2 linked regions of the Astyanax mexicanus genome follow. The protein of the gene in region 1 interacts with the protein of each later gene in a pairwise test. Links are inferred from orthologs where the notes say so. Each region holds a gene or a part of one and is shown in the gene's direction. Other genes may lie near its edges.

The links.
Region 2: the proteins of ctnna1 (region 1) and armc8 interact in a two-hybrid assay, tested with the Homo sapiens proteins (2 studies listed by BioGRID and IntAct). The link is inferred for Astyanax mexicanus from reciprocal best matches to the Homo sapiens genes CTNNA1 and ARMC8.

Annotation. Positions count from the first base shown.
Region 1 is NC_064409.1:75,354,216-75,365,762, forward strand, and holds the start of ctnna1 (catenin alpha-1), read left to right. Parts: upstream 1-6,876; 5' UTR 6,877-7,152; intron 7,153-11,547. UniProt on the Homo sapiens protein: Associates with the cytoplasmic domain of a variety of cadherins. The association of catenins to cadherins produces a complex which is linked to the actin filament network, and which seems to be of primary importance for cadherins cell-adhesion properties.
Region 2 is NC_064418.1:10,798,396-10,809,449, forward strand, and holds the start of armc8 (armadillo repeat-containing protein 8), read left to right. Parts: upstream 1-5,581; 5' UTR 5,582-5,642; coding exon 5,643-5,687; intron 5,688-9,123; coding exon 9,124-9,200; intron 9,201-11,054. Other genes in the region: dbr1 (lariat debranching enzyme), read right to left, coding at 2,082-2,167, 2,263-2,343, 3,321-3,445, 3,538-3,734. UniProt on the Homo sapiens protein: Component of the CTLH E3 ubiquitin-protein ligase complex that selectively accepts ubiquitin from UBE2H and mediates ubiquitination and subsequent proteasomal degradation of the transcription factor HBP1.

The DNA of each region.
Region 1 (11,547 bases):
GCAAGACTCCATCCTCTCTTCTCTGTAAGATGATAAAATTATTATCTGCTCAGCAAGATCGTCAGCCAAACGCCGTAACTGTAGATGTAAATCATCAGGCCTGCTGAAATATGGGCGTTTAATAGCTCACTTTGCGTTCAGCTTGTTAATAAGCTTTATGGTAAATGAAGCGGCAGAGTCACAGTATCAGGAACTTCACCTCTGATCCAAAACAGGAAGCAGCCGGGTCGTATTCTCTGCACTGTCAGGATGAGCAGCTGCAGGGCTAATGCTGTGTTGGGTGTCAGTATAAAGATATGTGATTATTACTGAGATCTACAGTCCAGCAAAGCTTGTAATTTTGAGTCAAACTAGAGGTCAGAGTTTAACGGCAGTTCACTGCACATCTCTGAGCTGCTTCTACTCAACCTCAATCAGGGAAGCTCATCAGAGAGCCTATGTATAATTTTATATGAAGAGTTGTTTTTAGACATTTTCATTTATAACATTTAGCAGACACTCTAATCCAGAGCTAATAAAGTCACTAAAACCTCTGATTTTAGCTGACTCCACCCTCAGCTCAAATTTCAAAATGACAAAAAATTAAAAAATGGGAGGGGCACTGGGTGATGTATGGGTTTAGGGGCAGGGCAAGAGGGAAAGATTGATTGGCTGAGCTGCAGCAGCAGCAGTGTGCCTTTGATAGTGGTGAGACGCAGATGGTTGGACGTCAGCAAGAGGGGGCGGTGGGGTATTATTGAGACTGATTTGCATATTGTGATTTGTCTGTGCACCAAAGTACACGCAAACATCAGCCAAGTCTATAGCACAGTTAAACCTGAGAGGGCGCTGCAGAGGAGGAAAATAACCAAAATAAAAGCGTTTTTTTTAAAGGTTAGGAAAGGTTTATAAAAATTATAAGCAGGACTGGTATGTTTCATTACTTTAAAGGAACACATTTTAGCTATTAATTAAAATAATATGGTTTAGGGTTTAGTGGCTCTTAAACTGAGAATACTACCAGAACTAAGCCAAAAAAAATACCCTAATGCGACAGTAAAACAACTTGTCTCAATTTCTAGAACCTAAATATAATGATTACTATGCAAAAACATGTACAAATCCTGTGTATATACTAATTTTAAATGATGCCTTGAAAGTGCCTATATTATGATCAATTGCATTTTACAGTTGCAGGTCAACACAAAACATTAATTCTTCAAAAAGGTAATGTAACAATCAGGGAGTGAATCAGATGCTCGTAGATAAAAAAAAAAAAAAACAACCAATAGGGTTTCTTAGAAAAAGGTCAGCTCAAAAGAGAAATGCAGAAAACAGTCCAGGTCAGTAAGATCCAAGGCAAAACATTACACAAGGGAAGATCCAAAGGAGTAAATGAGATTCAGGCAGAGGTTAACACCAAGAACTACAAAAAAATCAGCAAAATAAAGACAGTAAACCGAAGACGAAAAAGGGTTATAACAAAAAAAGGCATAAGAAAAGGATAAACACTCACAAGAACAATACCGAGCAAAGAGTGTTAGATGGTCTGGGAAAACACTGCACTGACTTTGGACTTGAAGTGTGAAGTTTCCACCAATCAGTGATGGTTTGGAGAGACATGTCATCTGCTGGTGTTGATCCACTGTGTTTTATTATCAAGTCTAAAGTCAGTGCAGTTTTGTTTTCCCACAAAATCTTACAGCACTTCATGCTGCTTCCCTCTGCTACTGACAACTTTTATGGAGATGCAGATTTCATTTTCCAGCAGGACTTGGCACACTGCCCCCACTGCCAAAAGTACCAATTGTTCTTATATAATATTCTCATTTTCTGAAACACTGACTTTTGGTTTTTCATTGGCTGTAAGCTTCATAATCATAAACAATAAAATAAATAAACGCTTAAAACAGATCACTTTGTGTTTAATACATCTATATAATACAGTATATGAGTTTCACATTTTAAACTGATTTACTGAAATAAAGTAACATTTGGATGACATCCTATTTTTTGGAGATGCACTAGTGCTGTATGTTGGCTTCAAGAGCATTTTTCAACAAAGATCACTGCATTTACCATACTGTCCCAACTTTTTTCCTGATTTAAGTTTGTACACTGCGTGAGAGTGAGCTGTACAGTGGTAGGAGCTCAGCTCAGATATTTGGCCGAGCTCCTGACTGAGACGTTTTCATGACAGTGGAGGAGGTTGAGGCTTGCAGGGCTTGGAGAACATTGTAACATTTGAACCGAAGTACAGAAGTACATTATATTTTATACATTAGCCCTCTGGATGAGTGTGTGAGTGTGTGTGTGTGAGAGAGAGAGAATATAAAAGAACATGCCAAGAGCTTGGGCTGTCCACATTCTGTAGTCTGGAACTGAAGGAAAGAGGGATTCATGCTGGAGGAGGAGGAGGTAGATGTGATAGATAGGTTGGCGTGAAATCTAACCTTAATAAGAGTGCCATTCTAGGCCAAGTCTAACGCAGCACTGCGAGCGTCTGAATGGCTGCCCAGCAGCGGGGGAGTGTGTCTGCTCTGCTGAGCGCTATGTAAATGAACACGACACTCAAGACATATTTAAATAACAGTAATGATCTGGCTGGGTTAAGACTAGCCGTTAAAACAGCTTAAGCTTTAACCTAACAGAAATAAAACAGCTTGAAATGGAAGGAAAAAACATGACTTTTTGCATTAGTTATGTGTTGGGAATTATAATGATGATGATAAACATTTGCATTATCTTGTATCCATGTGTACTAAAAGGGTAAACTCATATAGGGGTATATTTTTATTCTTTTGATATAATTATCACATGTATAAGAATATAGACTACACAGAAATGTATGTATGTTCCATCATAATTACTCTTTATTTTCACTTATTATTTAAACCCGTCATGCATGTGTCCACCCTTCTATGGCAAACTGTCTGAGAGAATAAACGATTTTAGTAAAAACGGGCATTTAATGAAAACATGTTTGACCTAAATTTGCAGAAATGTTGAATTGTTCATGGTGACTGTTCTTGTTCTGTTTCAAAATTACATTTTGACTTTCTTTCTTTATTTTAATTACTGTGATATTTTCATATTTTTATTATTTGACAGGGTGAACAGCTTCAGCTTTACCTCTTTAAGCTAGATATGAAGACAATATGCATTATATCATTTTTAAAAAAATGGAAAAGCACTTCATGCTTCCCTCGGCTGACAACTTTTATGGAGATGTGGATTTTCCAGCAGGACTTGGCACACTGCCCACACTGACAAAAGTACCAATTGATCTTATATAATATTCTAATTTTCTGAGACACTGATTTTTGAGTTTTTATTGGCTGTAAGCCAAAATAATCAACAATAAAAGAAACTAGATTGCAGTTCCTACAGAAACTGCGAGTGTGATTGCAGTGCTGGCCGGGGTACCCAAACTTTTGACCCGTGGCTCCATTACACACAGTACTGGAGTTCTAGCTGCCGTCCTTCGATCTAGCTGCCATCCTCCGATGGCCCCATTCATTCCTATGGGGCCACTTCGTACGACAATCGTACGAAATTCGTATGTCGTAACGTTTCGTGACGCATATTTTCGGAAAGAGCTCAATAAGTTCTACAGGTCCTCAATTGGTTTCATCTTCGTATCTCAAAAATTGTGACGTACACGGCCGTGCAAAGTTCTGCCCATTCATTTTCAATGGGCAAAAAAGCGCACACTTCGATCGGAAAGCTGTATACAAGCCCACCATTCCCGATAAGGACGCACGTTTTGTCTTTTGAACGAAGTCGATATCTCGAAAACTGCGGCACTAGTTAACCGGACAAAAAACAGGTGGAATAATAATAATAAGAAGAAGAATAAGACTTAAGAAGAACAATACTGTGATTGCATACTGCAATCACACTAATAAATGCTTAAAATAGATCAATCTGTGTGTAATACATCTATATAATGAGTTTACTGAATTACTGAAATAAAGTAACTTTTCAATGATATTCTAATTTTTTGAGATGCACTAGTAGTACATGTATAATATCAAGGATTAGCATCAGCCAAGAATTCCTACATCGAGCGTCCCTAAATAAAATCGTAAAAGAGAAGAAAAATTACCACAAAATTTCAACAAGATATTTCCACATCATGACCAGATATCTCTGACTTTGTATTTAAAATAACCAGATTGTGTCTCAAAGTAATGAAACAACATCTCAAAATATTCAGAAATAATTTCTAAATATTGAGAACATTAAGAAGATCTCAAAAATAATGGAAAATCTTGTCTAAATGACTTATGACTCTTGACTCTTTATTTTTATCTTTATCTTTATTTATATATGTCATTTACTGGAGAATGGCCCAATGACTAGCATTCATCTCAAACAAATTACTTAGTTTCTAAAAGTAACGAGATAGCAATTCCCCCTATGGAGCCCCTAACGTGACATTATGTAAAAAAAAAATGTGGGAACGAGATCCTAAGGCGTGGAAGAAAATAATTTGGCATGGGAACAAGATAATTAAGGCATGGGAACGAGATTATTAAAGCGTGGCCACGACTTATTAAGGCGTGGGAACAAGTTAATTTAATCTAGCCGAGAATAATAAAGCTGGCTTTTCTGTAAATTAATGCCCATGAAAAAATATCACTCCTGCTAAAGGCACTCAGTCCTGTTACTGGAACTACCTCCTTTTAGTGGCACTCATTTTAGTGTTAGTTTTTATGTTATGAGTAACAGGAAAGAAAGTAACAGGAATGAGTTTCAAATCAAATGTACATAAAAACTAATGAGTTGAACTTAATTTTTGTCTTCCCATGATCTTCAGAAGAACCAGCTGATGTCACTTCCTGTTCTAGATGTGACTTGTAGAATGTTCCAGATTGTCCAGATGGGGTAATGTGTTACGGTAACAGAACCGAGTGAAAACCAGGGACACAACTAAAGTGTGTTTTTTGACGTAAAGGTCTCTTTCCGCTGAAATATATCTTTTCTTGTTCTTTGTGAAATACTGTAGGTCTCTATGAATTGTATATGATGCTGCACATGAAACTGATTCTTAGGCTCCCTTGTCTGCAGTAGTTTGTGAAAGAAAATCCTCAGAAGTACAAGTTGATCAGAGAGATGTAAAATGTCAATCAGTGATATATTTGCATATAAATAGCAAGAACCAAATCATGACTTTCTTTAGAGACCAGTAATTCAGTGATCTAAAGCAGGGCTAAATAAAAACACCGGAGCACTTAAAAAAAAAAAAAAAAACACAAAGCATTCATTTATACTAGAGACCACAAGGATATGTTTTAAAATGATTTAAAAAAACGGTAGAATGGGACCTTTAAATATTATGAATTAATTATGAAAAACATATTTTTAAAGCATAGATGGGATTTAAAGTCACACAACAATGCAAAAAAAAATATATATATATTTCATGGTAAAGTTTATAGTCAGACAGTGGGGGCAAATAACAAATGCTATTTTTTCAGTGTTCTAAGTAGTTTTTATTAATGTTTTTAATTGCATATCTTACTTTTGCAATTGGGTAATGTACAAGATACTATGCTTAATAATAAACTGTATTTTAAAGTTATTTTGTGTGCACATTTAAACATGTACTTTACTGGAGACAGAAAAAGACAGAAATGGCACCCATTTGGTGGAATGGCCCAATGACTAAAGGTATCTCAAGCAAATTACTTAGTATCTAAAATCAACGAAATAGCAATTCCCCCCTATGGAGCCCCTAACGTGACATTATGTAAAAAAAAAATGTGTGGGAACGAGATCCTAAGGCGTGGGAATAAAATAATTTGGCATGGGAACGAGATAATTAAAGCATGGGAACGAGATTATTAAGGCGTGGCCACGACTTATTAAGGCGTGGGAACAAGTTAATTTAATCTAGCCAAGAAAAATAAAGCTGGCTTTTCTGTAAATTAATGCTCATGAAAAAACTGAATATTATATCAAAGCTCCTTTAATCCAAAGATAATCTTTAGTAAGAAAATAGAGAGTAAACTGGTTTATTTTTATTTTAATCTCTTAATGATTTATGATGATTTATGATAGCACACATCTATTTTTTTTACATAATGTCACCTTAGGGCAGGGGTGTCCAAACTACGGCCCGTGGGCCATTTGCGGCCCGTTTCCTTTTTTGGAGCGGCCCGCAAGGTATTTTAGAAATAGAATGAACGTTGGCCCGCTGTTAAGCAGGTTTTTATAATGTGAGAAAAAAAAGCAGTTGTAGCGCAGAAAAAATGGGCCAAATAGTCTAAAGGTTGCCGTAATTAAGGGAGTTTAATATTAAGAGACATCATGAAATTAAACATCAATTTGAAAAATCTTAGTTTACACAACACTGTCAAAGATAAAGATAGTAAGTCAAGTTAAATGGTGTGTAAATGAAAGTAATCAGGAAAATGTATTATTTAAAGTGGTATATTTCATTATTTGTTTTATTACAGAGTCTGTGGCCTGTGACTTCAAATATATTTCTCCTTCTAGCCCCCAACAAAAAAAGTTTGGACACCCCTGCCTTAGGGGCTTCGTACAATTCACTTAATAACGTAAAATAAATAGAATCTAGATGTATTTTGTATTTTCAGCAGTTAAATAGAGGTATTTAAGCTAAATGTGCAGTTTTGTAGTTACTAGTGCTGGAGTGTGCAGTCTGTGCTGGTCTGTATCCGGTATAAATCAGCAGATCTAAGAGCTGAGGGGGATTAATGTGTTGTTCTGTAATCTGAACCTGTGTGTAATGTGTGTGAGAGAAGATTAACAGGTAAATAAAGCGGTAAAGGTGAAGCTCGAGCCTGCAGCCACACCCAGCCCTCACCTGAGAACAGCCCCCTCCCCCTCTTCCGCCTGCTGCGTCACTGCCGCCATTCCAGGAACAGCTCCTCCCCCCCTCCGCTCCCACCCAGAACAGCCCTGAAAGGGAGAAAAGCGAGGCGTTCAGAAAGTGTGTATAGCGCGGATCTGCTGAGGAAACCAGCTGAGGATCATTTCAGCCTTTTTACCCGCGGTCTGAGTGCGTGTGCAGGGCTTTTCACCCACCGGAGAAAGCTTTAATACCGGGATCAGCGGCGGGAGGAAAACTTTCACCGGAATTTTAACCGCTCTTCCTCCATTTTGAGGTTTCGCCCAACTTAACTTTGTGTTTATCGTGTTTCGGTGAGTTTAATTTACTGTTTTACAGCCTAATCCTCGCTTTAACTGGCTTTAATTTGATTGTGAAGCTCGTATTATATGAAGTTTGTGTGAAAAAGCTGGAAAAAGGGAGCTGAAAGTTGATAGTTTGTGAAAATTCGCGCTCCGGTTTTCCAACTTGTGGGATAACTTAACTCAGCTAACATTCAGGAGAGAGTTATGGACTCCTCCCTAAAGCCTGGGGTTAAGTGCAGGTTTTCCGCCTTTTTAGACAAATTACCGACTTTTAAAAGCTTAAAAATCCTCTATATTTATTCCTGGATGTTAAAACAGGTGTTTTTAAACCATAAAATCCATTAAAACCAATAAATATAACATTTTAATTTCAAAATAAGTAACGTTACCTATTTACAGGCAAAATCCTTAACTTTAGCTGGCTAGCTGCTTGTTTGTTTGGGTTTTCCTAGTTTTATTTAAATTAAGTTTTAAAAGCGTCATTAACCATATATATTGTTATCCCTGGATGTTAAAACAGGTGTTTTTAAACGATTGAATCCATTAACAATATTAAATGTAACTTTAAATCCTAAAAAAAAATACTTTAGCTCGCTAGCTGCTTGTGTTTGGTTAAGTTAGATTCTTTTATTTTAGTTAAATCTACACATTTTAATAAGCTTTTGAACCTATATTTATTTATTTCTGGATGTTAAAACAGTTGTTTTTAAACAATATGTGATTTTTAAAATCTCAAAAGTTCTAAAATATGGGAGAAATCCATAACGTTAGCTGGTTAGCTCCCTGTGTTTGGTTAGTTTTTCCTCATTTGAACTAACTTAAACTTTAAAAGCTTCCAAAACCATCTAAATATCTATCCCTGGTTTTTAAAACATTTAAATCCATTAAAACCGTTAAATATCACATTTAATTTCAAAATAAGTACCTAAATACATGCAAAATCCTTAACTTTAGCAGGCTAGCTGCTTGTGTTTGGTTAGAGTCTTTCATTTTAGTTACATTTACACTTTTTAATAAGCTTTTAAACTCATATTTATTTATATCTGGATGTTAACAGTTGTTTTTAAACCATTAAATCCATCAAAACCATTAAATATAACATTTAATTTCAAAATAAGTACCTAAATACAGGCAAAATCCTTAACTTTAGCTGGCTAGCTGCTTGTGTTTGGTTGGGTTTTCCTTTTAAATTAAGTTTTAAAAGCGTCATTAACCATATATATTTATCCCTGGATGTTAAAACTGTTGTTTTAAACCATTAAATCCATTAAAAACATTAAATGTAACTTTAAATCCTAAAAAAAATATTATTTACCAAAATATGGGAGAAATCCCTGACTTTAGCTGGCTAGCTGCTTGTGTTTGGTTATATTCTTTCATTTTAGTTAAATAGACACATTTAAATAAGCTTTTAAACCCATATTTATTTATTTCTTGATGTGAAAGCAGATGTTTTCAAACAATATGTGACATTAAATCTCAAAAGTTCTAAAATATGGGAGAAATCAATAACTTTAGCTGGTTAGCTCCCTGTGTTTGGTTAGTTTTTCCTCATTTTATTTAAGCTAAACTTCAAAAGCTTCCGAAACCATCTAACTATCTATCCCTGGATTTTAAAACAGTTGTTTTAAACCAATGAAAACAATAAATATGACCTTCAGTTTCAAAATAAGTCTTAAATATAGGCAAATAAAAACTTTAGCTGGCTAGCTGTCTGTGTTTTGTTCAGGTTTTCGTCATCTTAGTTAAATTACTACGTTTTAAAAGCTTAATAAACCATAAATATTCATTCCTGGACGTTGAAACAGTAGTTTTTAAGCAATACCAAAATATAAGAGAGATCCTTAACTATAGCTGCCTAGCTCCCTGTGTTTGGTTAGCACTCTATAGCATTCCCACACTTCCTTAACTAATTCCACTTGGTTAAGCTAGGCTAATAAGCTAGCTAGCTGGGTAACAACTTGGATAACTAATTAGTTAGTTAAGCTATCTTTTTAAAGGTTTTTTTTTCTGGTCTTTATAGTACATTTATATTTCAGAAACTTAAAGAAACATGTTCATTTGAATCTATAATGCCCTTCCTGTGTCTCTTAGCCAGTCACAACCATGAGTAATAGGCTACGGTTTAATTACTCAAAATACATTTTGTCCAAATGATAATTAAATAACTTCTTACAAATACATTAATTGTCAAATTAAACACACAAAATATCACTACTATAAGGTTTGAGGTAAAGAAACTAGCTAGCTTAGGCTGTGTTGTCCCCACTGACCCCTCTGACCACAACCAGTGGGATTTTTGGGACTCCTCCCTAAAGCTTGGGGCTAATTTTAGATTTTTTGCCCTTTTGCCTAAATTTACAACTTTTTAAAAGCTTCCAAAACCCTGTATATTTATCCCTAGATGTTAAAACTCTTGTTCTTAAACAATTCAATCTATTAAAACCATCAAATATAACATTTAATATCAAACCTGCCTGTGTGTGTTCAGGTTTTTCTTATTTGATTTAAATAACCAAGTTTTAAAAGCTTCCCGACTTAGAAATATCATTGGATGTTAAAACATTTGTTTTTAAACAATGTGGCATTTACATTTTCGAAAAGTACCAAAATGTGGCATTCCCAAACTCCCTTAACTAATGCTACTTGGTTAAGCTAAGCTAAGCTAATTAGCTAGGTAGCTGGATGGCAACTTGGATAGCTTAATTAAAGAACTAGCAAGTTATCCAAGTTTTTTATGACTTTAAAGTATATTAATATATCAGATAAACCTAAAGAAACATATACATTTGAGTCTATAATGCCCTTCACGTTTCTCTTAACCAATCACATCCATGAGTAATGGTTACTACTCAGAATGTAATTTGTAAATCCAGTTGACAATTACATAATTTCTAACGAATACAGTACTTAAAAATATGACTTTATTAAAGGTTTATTGTTAAGGATTAGCTAGGTTATATGTTGTCCCTGCTGACCCCCCTGACTACAACTGGTGGGATATTTAGGACTCCTCCCTAAAGCCTGGGGCTAAGTTCCGATTTATTTTGCCTTTTTACTTAAATTAATGACTTAACATCCACGGATAAATACAGAGTTCTGGAAGCTTTTAAATCAGTTGTTCTTAAACCTTTGAACCAGCATTGAACCATCTATTAAAATGATTAATTATTAAAATTCAAAATTATTACCTAAATAAAGGCAAAATCCTTAACTTTAGCTGGCTAGCTCCCTGTGTTTGGTTAGATTTTCCTCACTGTTGGTAAATTAACAAGTTTAAAAGCTTCCAAATCGACTAATATTTATTCCTGAATATAAAATACCAAAATGAGGGAGAATAGATATAAAAGTTAGATAACTAGTAAGTTAGGCTATTTGAGTTTTTGTCTTTAAAGTATATTTATGTATATCAGGTAAACTTGGAGAAACATGTCCCATGCCTCTTAGCCAGTTACAACCATTAGTAATAGGCTACTACTCAATTTCTGTTCAGTTTAATTCATCCAGTTGACAATTACATAATTTCTAACGAATACAGTCATTACAAATATCACTTTATTTAAAGGTTTAATGTCCTCCCTACAGCCTCGGGCTTAGTCTAGATTTTCCACTTTTTGTTGCTTAAATTAACGACTTTAAAGCCCCCCAAACCCATCTATAGTTATGCCTGGATGTTTGTTTTATTAAAGCATTAAATACATTTAATTCATTATATGTGAGTATTTCCTAAACAAGTACCAAAATATAGGAGAAATCCTTAACTTTAGCTCACTAGCTGTTTGGTTAGATTTTCCTTGTTTTGTTTAAATTAACAAGTTTTAAAAGCTTCCAAACCCATAAATATTTATTCCTGGACATTAAACTGGTTGTTTTTAAACATCTTTGACGTTAAATCCCCAAAAAGTACCTACATATAGGAGAAACCTTAACTTAGATTTAAAATTAAAAAAACTAATTTTTAAAGTTTCCAAACCATTGAATATTTATTCCTTGATGTTAAAACACTTGTTTTCAAAAATGTCACATTAAATCCAAAAAACAAAAAGTATTAACATTTGGGATAACTCTTTAACTTTAGCTGGCTAACTGCCTGTGTTTTTGATTTGATTGTATTTTATATTAGTTAATTTTACACCTTTTTTTTAATAAGCTTCTTAACCCATATTCATGTATTTCTAGATGTTGTTTTTAAACAGTGTGTGCCATTTAAATCCTAAAGTACCAAACAATATGTGAAATCCTTAACTTCAGCTTGCTAGCTGCCTGTGTCTGTTTAGCAGCGCTTGTTATTCCTAAAATCAGTGGTGTTATCTATCTGGATGTTCAGCTTTTGTTTAGCTCAGGAAATTTGGTTGTGTTTTATGGTATATTTAAATTGTTATGAAAAAGGTTATAAATATAGTT
Region 2 (11,054 bases), on another chromosome or scaffold:
AAGAACTGAGGTCGTCGATTTAGCAAAAATACTACAATCATGATACATTATTTAAAATGACAATGTATCACAATATGCTGATATATTACATTACATTACGTTACGTTACATTTCATTTGGCAGACGCTTTTGTCCAAAGCGACTTACAATAGTGAAGTACAAAAGTAATAGGAATTTAGATAACCCATTTTTAGATAGGGCTTAAAGGAGGTCGAAGGGAAATAAAGGGATAGAGAAGTGAAGGAGGGGAAGAAGGAAATGAGGTTAGAAGTAGTTAGTGTGTTAGAGATGTTAGGAGAGTAAGTGCTCTTTGAAGAGCTCAGTCTTCAGGAGTTTATTAAAGATAGCGAGAGATTCTCCTGATCTGGTAGTGGAGGGTAGTTTGTTCCACCATTGGGGAACTCTGTATGAGAACAGTCTGGATTGCTTTGTGTGAGTGTTTGGCAAAGCGAGGCGACGATCATTGGAGGAGCGCAGCGGCCGGGAGGTAGCGTAAGCCTTCAGGAGTGATCAGTGCAGGTAGGAAGGAGCCTGTTCTGTCATCACCTTGTAGGCGATTGTAAGAGTTTTGAACTGGTAGCCAGTGGAGCTCAATGAGCAGCGGGGTGACATGTGCCCGTTTTGGTTGGTTGAAGACCAGACGTGCTGCTGCATTCTGGATCATTTGCAGTGGTTTTACTACGCAAGCCGGGAGGCCAGTTAGCAGGGCATTGCAGTAGTCGAGGCGTGAGATGACGATTGCTTGTACCAGGAGTTGGGTGGCCTGTTGCGTCAGAAACTGTCTAATTTTCCTGATGTTATAAAGTGCGAAGCGGCAGGATCGGGCAACCGAGGCCACATGGTGCGTGAAGGAGAGCTGGTCATCAACCATAACACCCAGGTTCCTAGCAACCTTTGTCGGTGAGAGAGAGAGAGAGTCGATGCTTATAGAGAGGTTGTGTTGAAAAGATGGTTTTGCTGGTATGACCAGAAGTTCAGTCTTTGAGAGATTTAATTGAAGGTGATGCTCCTTCATCCAAGAGGATATGTCAGAGAGACACGACGATATCCGTGCAGAGATTGAGTTATCTTCAGGTGAGAATGACAGGTATAGCTGGGTGTCATCAGCAAAGCAATGGTAGGAAAAGCCATGTGAGTGGATAACCTGACCAAGAGAGGCAGTGTATATTGAGAAGAGAAGGGGACCCAGTACCGAACCCTGGGGAACCCCAGTGGATAGGGAGTGGGCTGAGGACAGCTGTCCTTGCCACGACACCTTGAACGAGCGCCCAGTGAGGTATGATCTAAACCATGACAGCACATTGTCTGAGATCCCCATGTTTGAAAGTATAGTTAGGATATATACTAGGGCTGGGAATTACAGGGAATCTCATGATACAATATATCACATCAAGATATGTTGCCCACAATTCTCTACGATACTTCACAACATATGTGTTACTGAAGAAAATTAAATACTTCTATATAAGCAAATACCAGAGATTATGGATTTATTGCTGTCAATTTCACATTTGAGAAGCACTAACACATGGAGTAATGGAGCACCCAAAAAATGCTTCACAGAGTATTTTGGTTTGTTTATCACTTTTTAAGTTACTACATGATTGATTGTGTGTTCCTTCATTGTCTGGATGACTTTAGTATTAATTTACAATGTAAAAAAAAAAAAAAAAAAAAAAAAACTAATAAAACAAATAAAAACACTGATTGAGAAGGTATGTAAGATACTTTTGGCTGGTAGAGTATAATCATTAGGGTTGTATGAAATATTGAGCAACAAAATAATTTACTTTTTTATGTTGAACCTGCTGTTAAAAATAAATGTTTTTGAAGCACAATAGCAAACAAAAAAGTGGCCAATTTTTAAAAAAAATCTGCGGACAAAAAAACGTGTTCTGTATTTGGTGTTTGAAGATATGCCATATGTGTCAATTTTGTTCTGATTCAGCTAAAAGCCTAATAATTAATATTATGGGCATACAGTTTATTGTCACGTTTTAATTTAGATTCTTACTCAATTTAAGCAACACAAACAGGTACATATTCAAACCCCTTTCAGCCTCCAGCACAGTCCGGCTCACCTGTTTGAGCTTAAAAACATCACTGTTCCTGATGTGGTAGACACTGCGCAGGGTCTCTTGGTTGTAAGGTGGAAACTCAAAGTGTCCTGAAACAGATTAATGAGCAGGTTCAGTATAAATGTCCAATTTATGCAATGTCATATATCTTTACTTAAATGTGTGGAGTATGCTCTGCCATTACCTTTTCTGTAATCATGGGATTTGAAAATTCCAGAAAGACCACCAATCCGTATTCCTTTGTAGCGAACAACACCAGCATAACCTGCAAAACAAGCAATACAACCCCACTTTAAATCACTGGAATAAAGATCTAAGAGAAAAACTGGAATCTGATAACATCACCTAACAATGACTGAGTTCTCAGCGTCCACAAAACTCTTAACAATAGCTTTTTTATATTATAGAAAACTGCAGTGTATGTCAAAAAATATGTGAACTAAAATTAAAATTACAATACCTCAATGACTAGGTAAAATTTATCCTATCCAAATAGGGCAACTTAGCCCAAATAGGGCAACTTAGCCCAAATAGGGCAACTTAGCCCAAATAGGGCAACTTAGCCCAATTAGGGCAACTTAGCCCAATTAGGGCAACTTAGCCCAATTAGGGCAACTTAGCCCAATTAGGGCAACTTAGCCCAATTAGGGCAACTTACAAGTAGTCCAAATAGGGTAACTTAGTCCAAATAGGGCAACTTAGCCCAATTAGGGCAACTTAGCCCAATTAGGGCAACTTAGCCCAATTAGGGCAACTTAGCCCAATTAGGGCAACTTAGCCCAATCAGGGCAACTTAGCCCAATTAGGGCAACTTTAGCCCAATTAGGGCAACTTTAGCCCAATTAGGGCAACTTAGCCCAATTAGGGCAACTTACAAGTAGTCCAAATAGGGTAACTTAGTCCAAATAGGGCAACTTAGCCCAATTAGGGCAACTTAGCCCAATTAGGGCAACTTAGCCCAATTAGGGCAACTTACAATTAGTCCAAATAGGGTAACTTAGTCCAAAAAGGTTAACTTTATACATTATACTAACAGGAACATGGATAATATTCCCACTATTGTCCATGCTTTTATTTAACATTTTCTAATTTCTAAAAGTAAAAAAACACTCAGATAATTAATACATAAATACTTCAAATCTAATCAAAGATATTAAATGATCTCAGACAAAAGAACATTCTATTATAATGTTTAGCACTTTACTTTATAGGCAATACAGCAATACAGACACAAACTCTTACCCAAATAGTAAATATTGGGGGCGACCCACCCTCCATAGGGAAGCTCCTGTAAATGGTTTGAAGCTTCATGGTTTCCCCCGATGAAGATAGTCAGGACAGGTGCTTTCTTCTCTCCAGAATAATACCTTTTACAGTGCGAATGAGATAGAAAATATTAAACAAAAAATGCAGCAGCATACACAGCTGCAGTAGATCGATCATCTACGTAAAATCTTACTTGTAAAAAGTTTGCATCTGCCTGTACTTGGTCGGCACGGCCATACACTTCATGTCCCCCTCATTCCGCACAGCCTGGAAGTCCCCACAGCACAGCAGCAGGTCCACCTTGAGGCCTTCCTTGCGCTCCAGGTGGCTGATGGTCTCGTATATCTTGTCCAGTTCGCCATGGCAGCAGCCTTCAACAGCTATTTTCATATCCGTAGATGTTAAAGTCCAGATTTTGTTTTAAAAAAATAAATATTGCTAACACAGGAAAAAGTGCTTCTTCAGACAGAGTCTTATTAAATCCAGGAACTCTGAGTCGTGCATATCCAGACCAGTGAACCTATTGACAGGACAAAGGTCACATTAGTCCAATATGTTAAACATGGTGGGGGTTTTCACATGGACACATTGGACAGATACAGATATAGCATAAAATCAATAGAAATGCATTTTAAGTAGAATGGTAGTTAGACTCTGGAGGAACGTCCAACAACCACACAAGCCTGTTAACCATCAAACTAAAACATAAATCATAACCCTGTACTGGTCAGAATCTAGCTAAGCTAGTCAACCAGCTTGACCAGTTTGAGTTGATTATCTTTTTTTCTTCAGCAGGTTATTCACATATTTTAACTTGTCAGTTTTAGGGTTTAAGAAGTGATAGACGCTGCTCATCAGGTAACGTTAGCTGAATAACTGCAACAAAACGGAATTATCCGTTCCACCTTAAATTACTTATTACGTATTAGCTAACGTATTGGCGCCTGAACAGACGCCAGGCAGTAAAGGCTGCAGTATTTAAGGTGGACCGGACAATTCGAAACAGAAGCCCACGACACGGCACGAAATGGAAGATTATACAGCTAAATTAAAACTGCAAGCACACAAACAACATTTCTGACATTATTCCATCAAAACAAAAAAGCTGTGTGTGTAGTCTCACCTGTATTTTAGTCGTTAAACCGCTGCTTTAACAATATTTCCCTCTCAGTGATCCAACTTACCCTCCATTATTCACCGGCCACGCATGCGCACTCGCTGTACTTTACATGGTAAAACCAGTTTTGCCAGCCACCAGCACTTTCCACTATGCAAAAATTATTTTCGTAAAAATATAAGTCACGTATAGCGCACCATTTAGTAAAATAGCGGTTTATGTTTTCTTTCCTTTAAATTTGTATCAGTAACAAAACTTTCCCAAAGAAATAAAATGATTCATAAAGCATAAAATAATAATAAGCAAAAACAGTGATTAAAAGCTTCAGTTAAACTATATACAGTACCACACACACACAAGTAAATTTAATATAGACGTTAAATCTATACAGGAACACGTGGAACTATGTAGTTTATTCATTACTTTACAGATTAATATGTAGATTAATTATGTTCTCTCTCTCTCTCTCTCTCTCTCTCTCTCTCTCTCTCTCTCTCTCTCTCTCTCTCTCTCTGTCTCTCTCTCTCTCTCTTCTCACACCCCTACACACACTCACTCGCGTAGTCATGCACACAGAGCTGATGGCACGTTTCCTCTTTTCAAGCTGTTCAATGTGAAATATGGATGTAAACTAGCGTATATTTTCTATATTCAAAATCCCAGTTAAACTCAGCAACTCGGCTCGTTACAATAGTGTAGTTTAAAAAGCAAAACTACCCTGAGATATTGTAATACAGTAAAAAAAGAACCCTTCATAAAATGAAAGCCTTAAGGAATTTTAGGAAGGGGACATAAAATCTGATTTTTGTTTTACCGTATTATAATATATTTTTCTACCAGTATTAAAAATATGTAATCATGATTTCATCTGTGATTTAATCACAGAATATTGTTGTGATCAATACAAGAAAGGGACTGGCACCAATAACATAAATGTTTCATGTTTCTAAAAGTGATTCTTGTTTAAAATACAGTTTATCAAAAGCGTAATCTTTTCTTAAGGAAGATAGGATGTAATTAATGGTGTCTAATCACAGGATGTTCGTGTGATTAGCGTTAATTAGATAAAACAAAATTTATGAGAAGAGGTGTGTCCAAATTTTGACTGGCTCTCTCTCTCTCTCAGGTGTGTGTGTGTGGAAAGTGCCGCTCGTGTTCCCCGGCTGTTCGGACACAGAGAGATGGCGTGTCTGCTGGAGGCCCCGCTGCGCATCAGCGTGCTGTCCGTAAGTCCGAGCCCCTAAATCTTCCTCTAACCCCGCTGTTTTTCGCGTGTCCCGCGGCTCACACCTGCAACCGGAGCCGTGGAACCTAGTGCGGTGTTTGGTCTGAAGTGCAGTGCATTAGTTGAGCGTGTTTGTGCGGAGCACCGCGGGTGGATCGGGTCGGTCAGGCGGAGTTAACTCACTCACCGGCGGCGCTACAGAGCCGGGAGAGCTGGGGTTAGCTCCGGCTAGCCGACCTGCAGAGCCCCGCAGCGCCCTGCACTGCCCGACAGCTGGTTTAACTCCATCCAGCAGAGCGAGCCCGCTTGTTTATTAGTCTATTGCCTGGAAAAGGTGCTTAATTTCGGGTTTAGTTAGAACGCTGGCTAAACACCCGGAGCTTTAGCTAGCTGCCACTGAAGTTGGGTGACTTTCTGGGCTGCTGTTTAGCCCTGTATTTGCTCGGCTAGCTAGCTCTAATCAACCTCTATCTGTCTAACTTGCTAAGGCTAACGTAGCCAAGCTAGCCCTACTGTGTTTACTGAATCCCAGGCTGTCAGCTTTAGCTAACAAGCCTGGCAGGTCTAACCTATATATAGCTAGATAGCTAACTAGCAGATGTATGTTGGTTTGATTATGTGCCAATAGAGAGGTAGCTAATTAGTTAGTTAGCTAACCTTGTGTGAAACTTCAACCATAAAGCTAACTCTAGCTTAGCTAGCTAGCCATGTCAAACTGCCAAGCTAATTGGCTAACTCATGCTAGCCGCTGGAAACGCCCCCGTCTTGTTGAGTTCTATACTGTCAAAAAATTAGCAGCTTCAACTCAAAAACTTAAGTAAGTTACAAAAGCTGTTAAAGTATAAAATTTTATTTAAAGTGAATTTACTATTTACGTTATGTCTGATTTGGCTTTGGACGCATCTACGCATTGTTACACCAGTAATAGCACCGTTACAAAGTAAAAAAAAAAAAAAAAGAAAAGCAGTGTGAAAGACTGGTGGAGAAGAACATGCCAAGATGCATGAAAACTGTGATTAAATAATTAATTGATTCCACCGAATATTGTTTTCTGAACTCTTAAACTTTGTGAATATTGTGAATATCTTTGCATTATTTGATGTATAAAAGCTCTGCATCTTTTTTTATTTCAGCTATTTTAAATGCTCTAAATGACAGTATGTTTATTTGGAATTTGGGAAAAATGTTGTCTGTAGTTTATAGAGTAAAACAAAGTTCATTTTACTCAAAACATATACCTATAAATAGCAAAGTTGTCTCTTATTTGTTTCCAGAGCTGTAAGTGAAACTCATGCATGCAGCAAATAGCAACTTGCTCTTATAGCCGTTAACACCCAGGCTTGCTAGGCAGTACTTTTTAAGCTTGTAACCCAACTTTATGCAAACAATAAAATGAAAGCGCTACCTGGTCCTCACCTGGAGAACAGGTTAAGTAAAACTAAAGATCTATTTAAACTAGTAAAAATAAATACAATATATACATCAAGCATCGGTTTAAAATATGTCGACTCTAATGTCGGTTTCCAAAATGCATTCGCATATAACTAGTCTTTTTTTGTTTGTTTTTTTGTTTTTAAATAATGTTTTTGTTATTAAACTTTCAGTGTTTGACTACTGTTTGTTTAATTCATTGTGCATTGAATTCAGCTGCTCAGCCACGTAAACCCATTTCATGAAGCTCTCTACTTTCAACTCTTCTTGAGCTAATCTGAAGGCCACATGATGTTTGGAGGTTTGTAGCGATTGAGGTCTGTAGCGTGAATCCCTGTACTAACTATTCCGCAGTCAATTTTCAGTAATAATATAACGAAGTGGGAGTGACTGGAAACGACAGCAACTCTACCACAAATGGCAGGTCACGTAAAAAGGCAGAGCAGGGTCAATGGATAGGTTTCCTTGGCCAAACAGCTGCATTTAATACTTGAATTGAATTAAGAAGTCAAACAGTAGTCAAAACCTGGGATTGTAATAACACAAAGCATAAAAAACACAAAAAATAAAATTTGTGCATTATGGAAATGTGTTTTTTGATTGACTGCCTTGTGGTGTGTTCATAAAAGCACATTATATTCACAGATACTTATATTGTTTTTATATATTGTTTTTATGTTTTGAAATACTCTCTTCTTTGTACTCTATACTTGTTGCAAAAACGCAGTGACATTTTTCAAGTTTTTGATAAGGGTGTGTAATTGCACCAAGCATGATAAAAAATACTATTAAAATAATTCTAGCAAGGATTCCTTTGCCCTCTTCTTTAGGTCACCAGCTAGCTCTTGTATCAGCACCATTATCAGCAGCATAGTTGCTCAGGTAACCAGGAATAGCTGTTATAACCCGAAGAAGACCTGGGGACCTACCAGACACACTGTGTTCAGGAATAATATATTTGGCTTTGCAGGAATGGTAGCAGAAGCACATAAATGTCATTTATGTGGCATGGTGGGTGGTGTGGTGCAGTGGATAACCCGACCGCCTGATAGTGAGCTACTGTTGTGGAGACACGGGTTCAATTCCAGGTCTGGGTGACTGGAGGCTGTGCTACACCAATAAGAGTCCCTGGACAAGACTCCTAACACTACATTGGCCCACCTGTGTAATAGAAATAATCTTGTAAGTCACTCTGGATGATAGCATCGGCTAAATGCTGTAAACGTACATTTATTTTAACAAGATTTAATTAACAAGATATAATATTAAGGACAGCTGTGTTTAATCATTTAATTAATTACCCAACAACCCCTGGGCTCCTCATATTTTATACGTATGATTCCATGTTTTATACTTATACTGAACTAATTATATTGTCTTACTTGCATTGTGTGTTAGGGAGGGGAGTTTAGGTGTTTTAAGGTGGAGGAAGGGATAGGGTAACATACCTCACAGGTAGATCCGTTGGTCTGGTTGTTTTAAACAAACTAAAGACTAATTTATGATGGATGTAGGATCTCACAATGAGATTTTTGGCCCATATCATGGAAAATATTTATTTTGGGCCATTTAAGTACCATCAGGATGCCATTTAAATCAAATTAATTGACATTAAATTAAATGTCCTGCCCTTAGGTCCATGAGAATTGTGAGTGTTTAGATTAGTCAGCATGTCTGTGGTGGAAATTTAAGCACGAAATATTGCTCTGTGTTCAGGACGTCATACGTATATCCTGAAAACAAAACTTCAGCTGGCCAGAGTGATCCGTGGAGTAAGTTTCATCTGCTGATCCCACCCGTGTCCCCGTGTAAACAGACTTATCGGATGTCAGAACCTCATCTCGTGTCTGGGAAAGCTTAAGATGTGTGGACTGGAGGCTAACATTGGGCTGAATGGGGCTTTGCTAGTGTTTTCCCCCACAGGTTTGGGGTCTGTGGGCTGTTTGGTTCTGTTGTCTGGATGTGAACCTTTTTCATACAAGTTTTCTCTCTTTCTGGCCATGCAGGAAGTCACAGCCACCAGTCGCCATTATGTTGACCGGCTCTTCGACCCCGACCCACAGAAAGTGCTGCAGGGAGTCATGTGAGTATGTGTTTGTGGAACAATGGTATCACCAGTCATTATTTGATCTGTATTGAGGTTCTGTGGCTGCATCGGTTTCGACAGTGTTCAAAATTTGATTGTATTTGCTTTTGGTTGTTTCTTTTTTAGGAGCGCTCTTGTTTATTTAATCAGCTTTCAGTTGCTGTACCCACTGTTGCATGGTGACATCCTCAGAAATCAGAAACTGGCCATTATTTTTGTCCTTTAAGTTAAGCACAATTTTTTAAATCTGTGTTCTCTATTGTGGGGGTGTGGCCAACAGAGCACAGGGCCGTGCTTTTTAAAATGCTGCCCATCACAGCTTTCATATTTTATGGCAAAAATAATCAATATCCCTACAAAACATCTTTTATTCAGTGTCCCCTCTGTTGGACTACAGAACATACTGCCTCACTTTTGTATTTTTTGTTTTTATTTTCGATTCTGATGAAGCAGACAGACAGAAATGTGATTTTTTTTTTTTTCAGAATTGTTAAAGTTTTTTGGAAATTATTTAGGGGGTTGCAAACTAATGGGTCTGCTCAAATTTGGAAGAATATAAAATGAAAAGGCCTGGTAACAAAAATCATCATGAAAAAATCTAATGCCATTACATAACCCTTGTTTTCTCCTGGGTCTCAAGAGGTTAATGGTTTGTGTAAATTTTTTCTTGCTCTCCGTTTGTGTGCACTAGTGTGTCTAGTGGCAAGGATCCTCCGCTTATTTCATCTTTATTTTTAACTCTGAGCTCTGGTTACGGTGTATGGGTGCTCGTTACCTGAATGCCCCAACAGTACTTTTCCACTGGCCTGTGCGCCCGCTCAGAGAGCAGCTGAGCTTCTCGTGCCCATCTGAGATTTGCATGGGCTTCTCTCACAGCTGTGCTGGGGTACATCTATCAAGCTATGTCTAGTTCTAAAAGCAAGCATGTTTGTATGAAGGGATGGCTAAGGGTCCTGACTCAAGGTGCACACACACCCACACCCACACCCCCACACAAACACAGTGCCTCATCAAAAGTGTTTTTTTTTTTTTTTTTTTTTTTTTTTTTTTGGATTAGTGTGATTGCTCGTACGCTCACTTGTAAATGGGTGCACACAATTAAATTTAATTTGCCAATATTATTGCATACAATATGATATGGCTCACCCCTAATTAGGATTTTCACCACATTGTAACAGAAGCAAATGATTCAGAATGTCATACTAATTATGCACTCCAAATATCTTCATATATCCAGGATTAAAGTAAAATCAATGATACTGGACATATATATATATATATATATATATATATATATATATATATATATATATATATATATATATATATATATATATATATATATATATATATATATAATGAGAACAGTTTGAAATATTTCTTTTGCTACAAACAGCATTGGCCCATATGACATTTATCATATAATATCATGATATTTCAGGGTATGTTTGCGATAACAATATTGACAAATTTTGGCAATATTATTGCGTACGATATGATGGGGCTCATATATTTGTAAATCAACATCAAACTGATTAGGTATCGGTGGTGATCCACAGCCCTACTGTAAAAGCAGGGTTAGGGTTCCTGACTCTGTGCTTTCATACCGATCAGTGATTTATTTGGGTTTAGGGATGCACAGTATATCATTTTTAGCATCGCTGTTGCAATGTGAGCATACTTAAGTGTCACATCATGATCATGATGTCACAATTTACATGTGTGATCTCCCTCCTTAATGGGGAGCTAGGTTTCTGCCCACATTTGTAACTGTTTGTAACTGTTTGTAACTCTACAACACCCTATTTAAGTAATTCATGTTTCCTGAGCGCAGTAATTAGTTGGATCAGA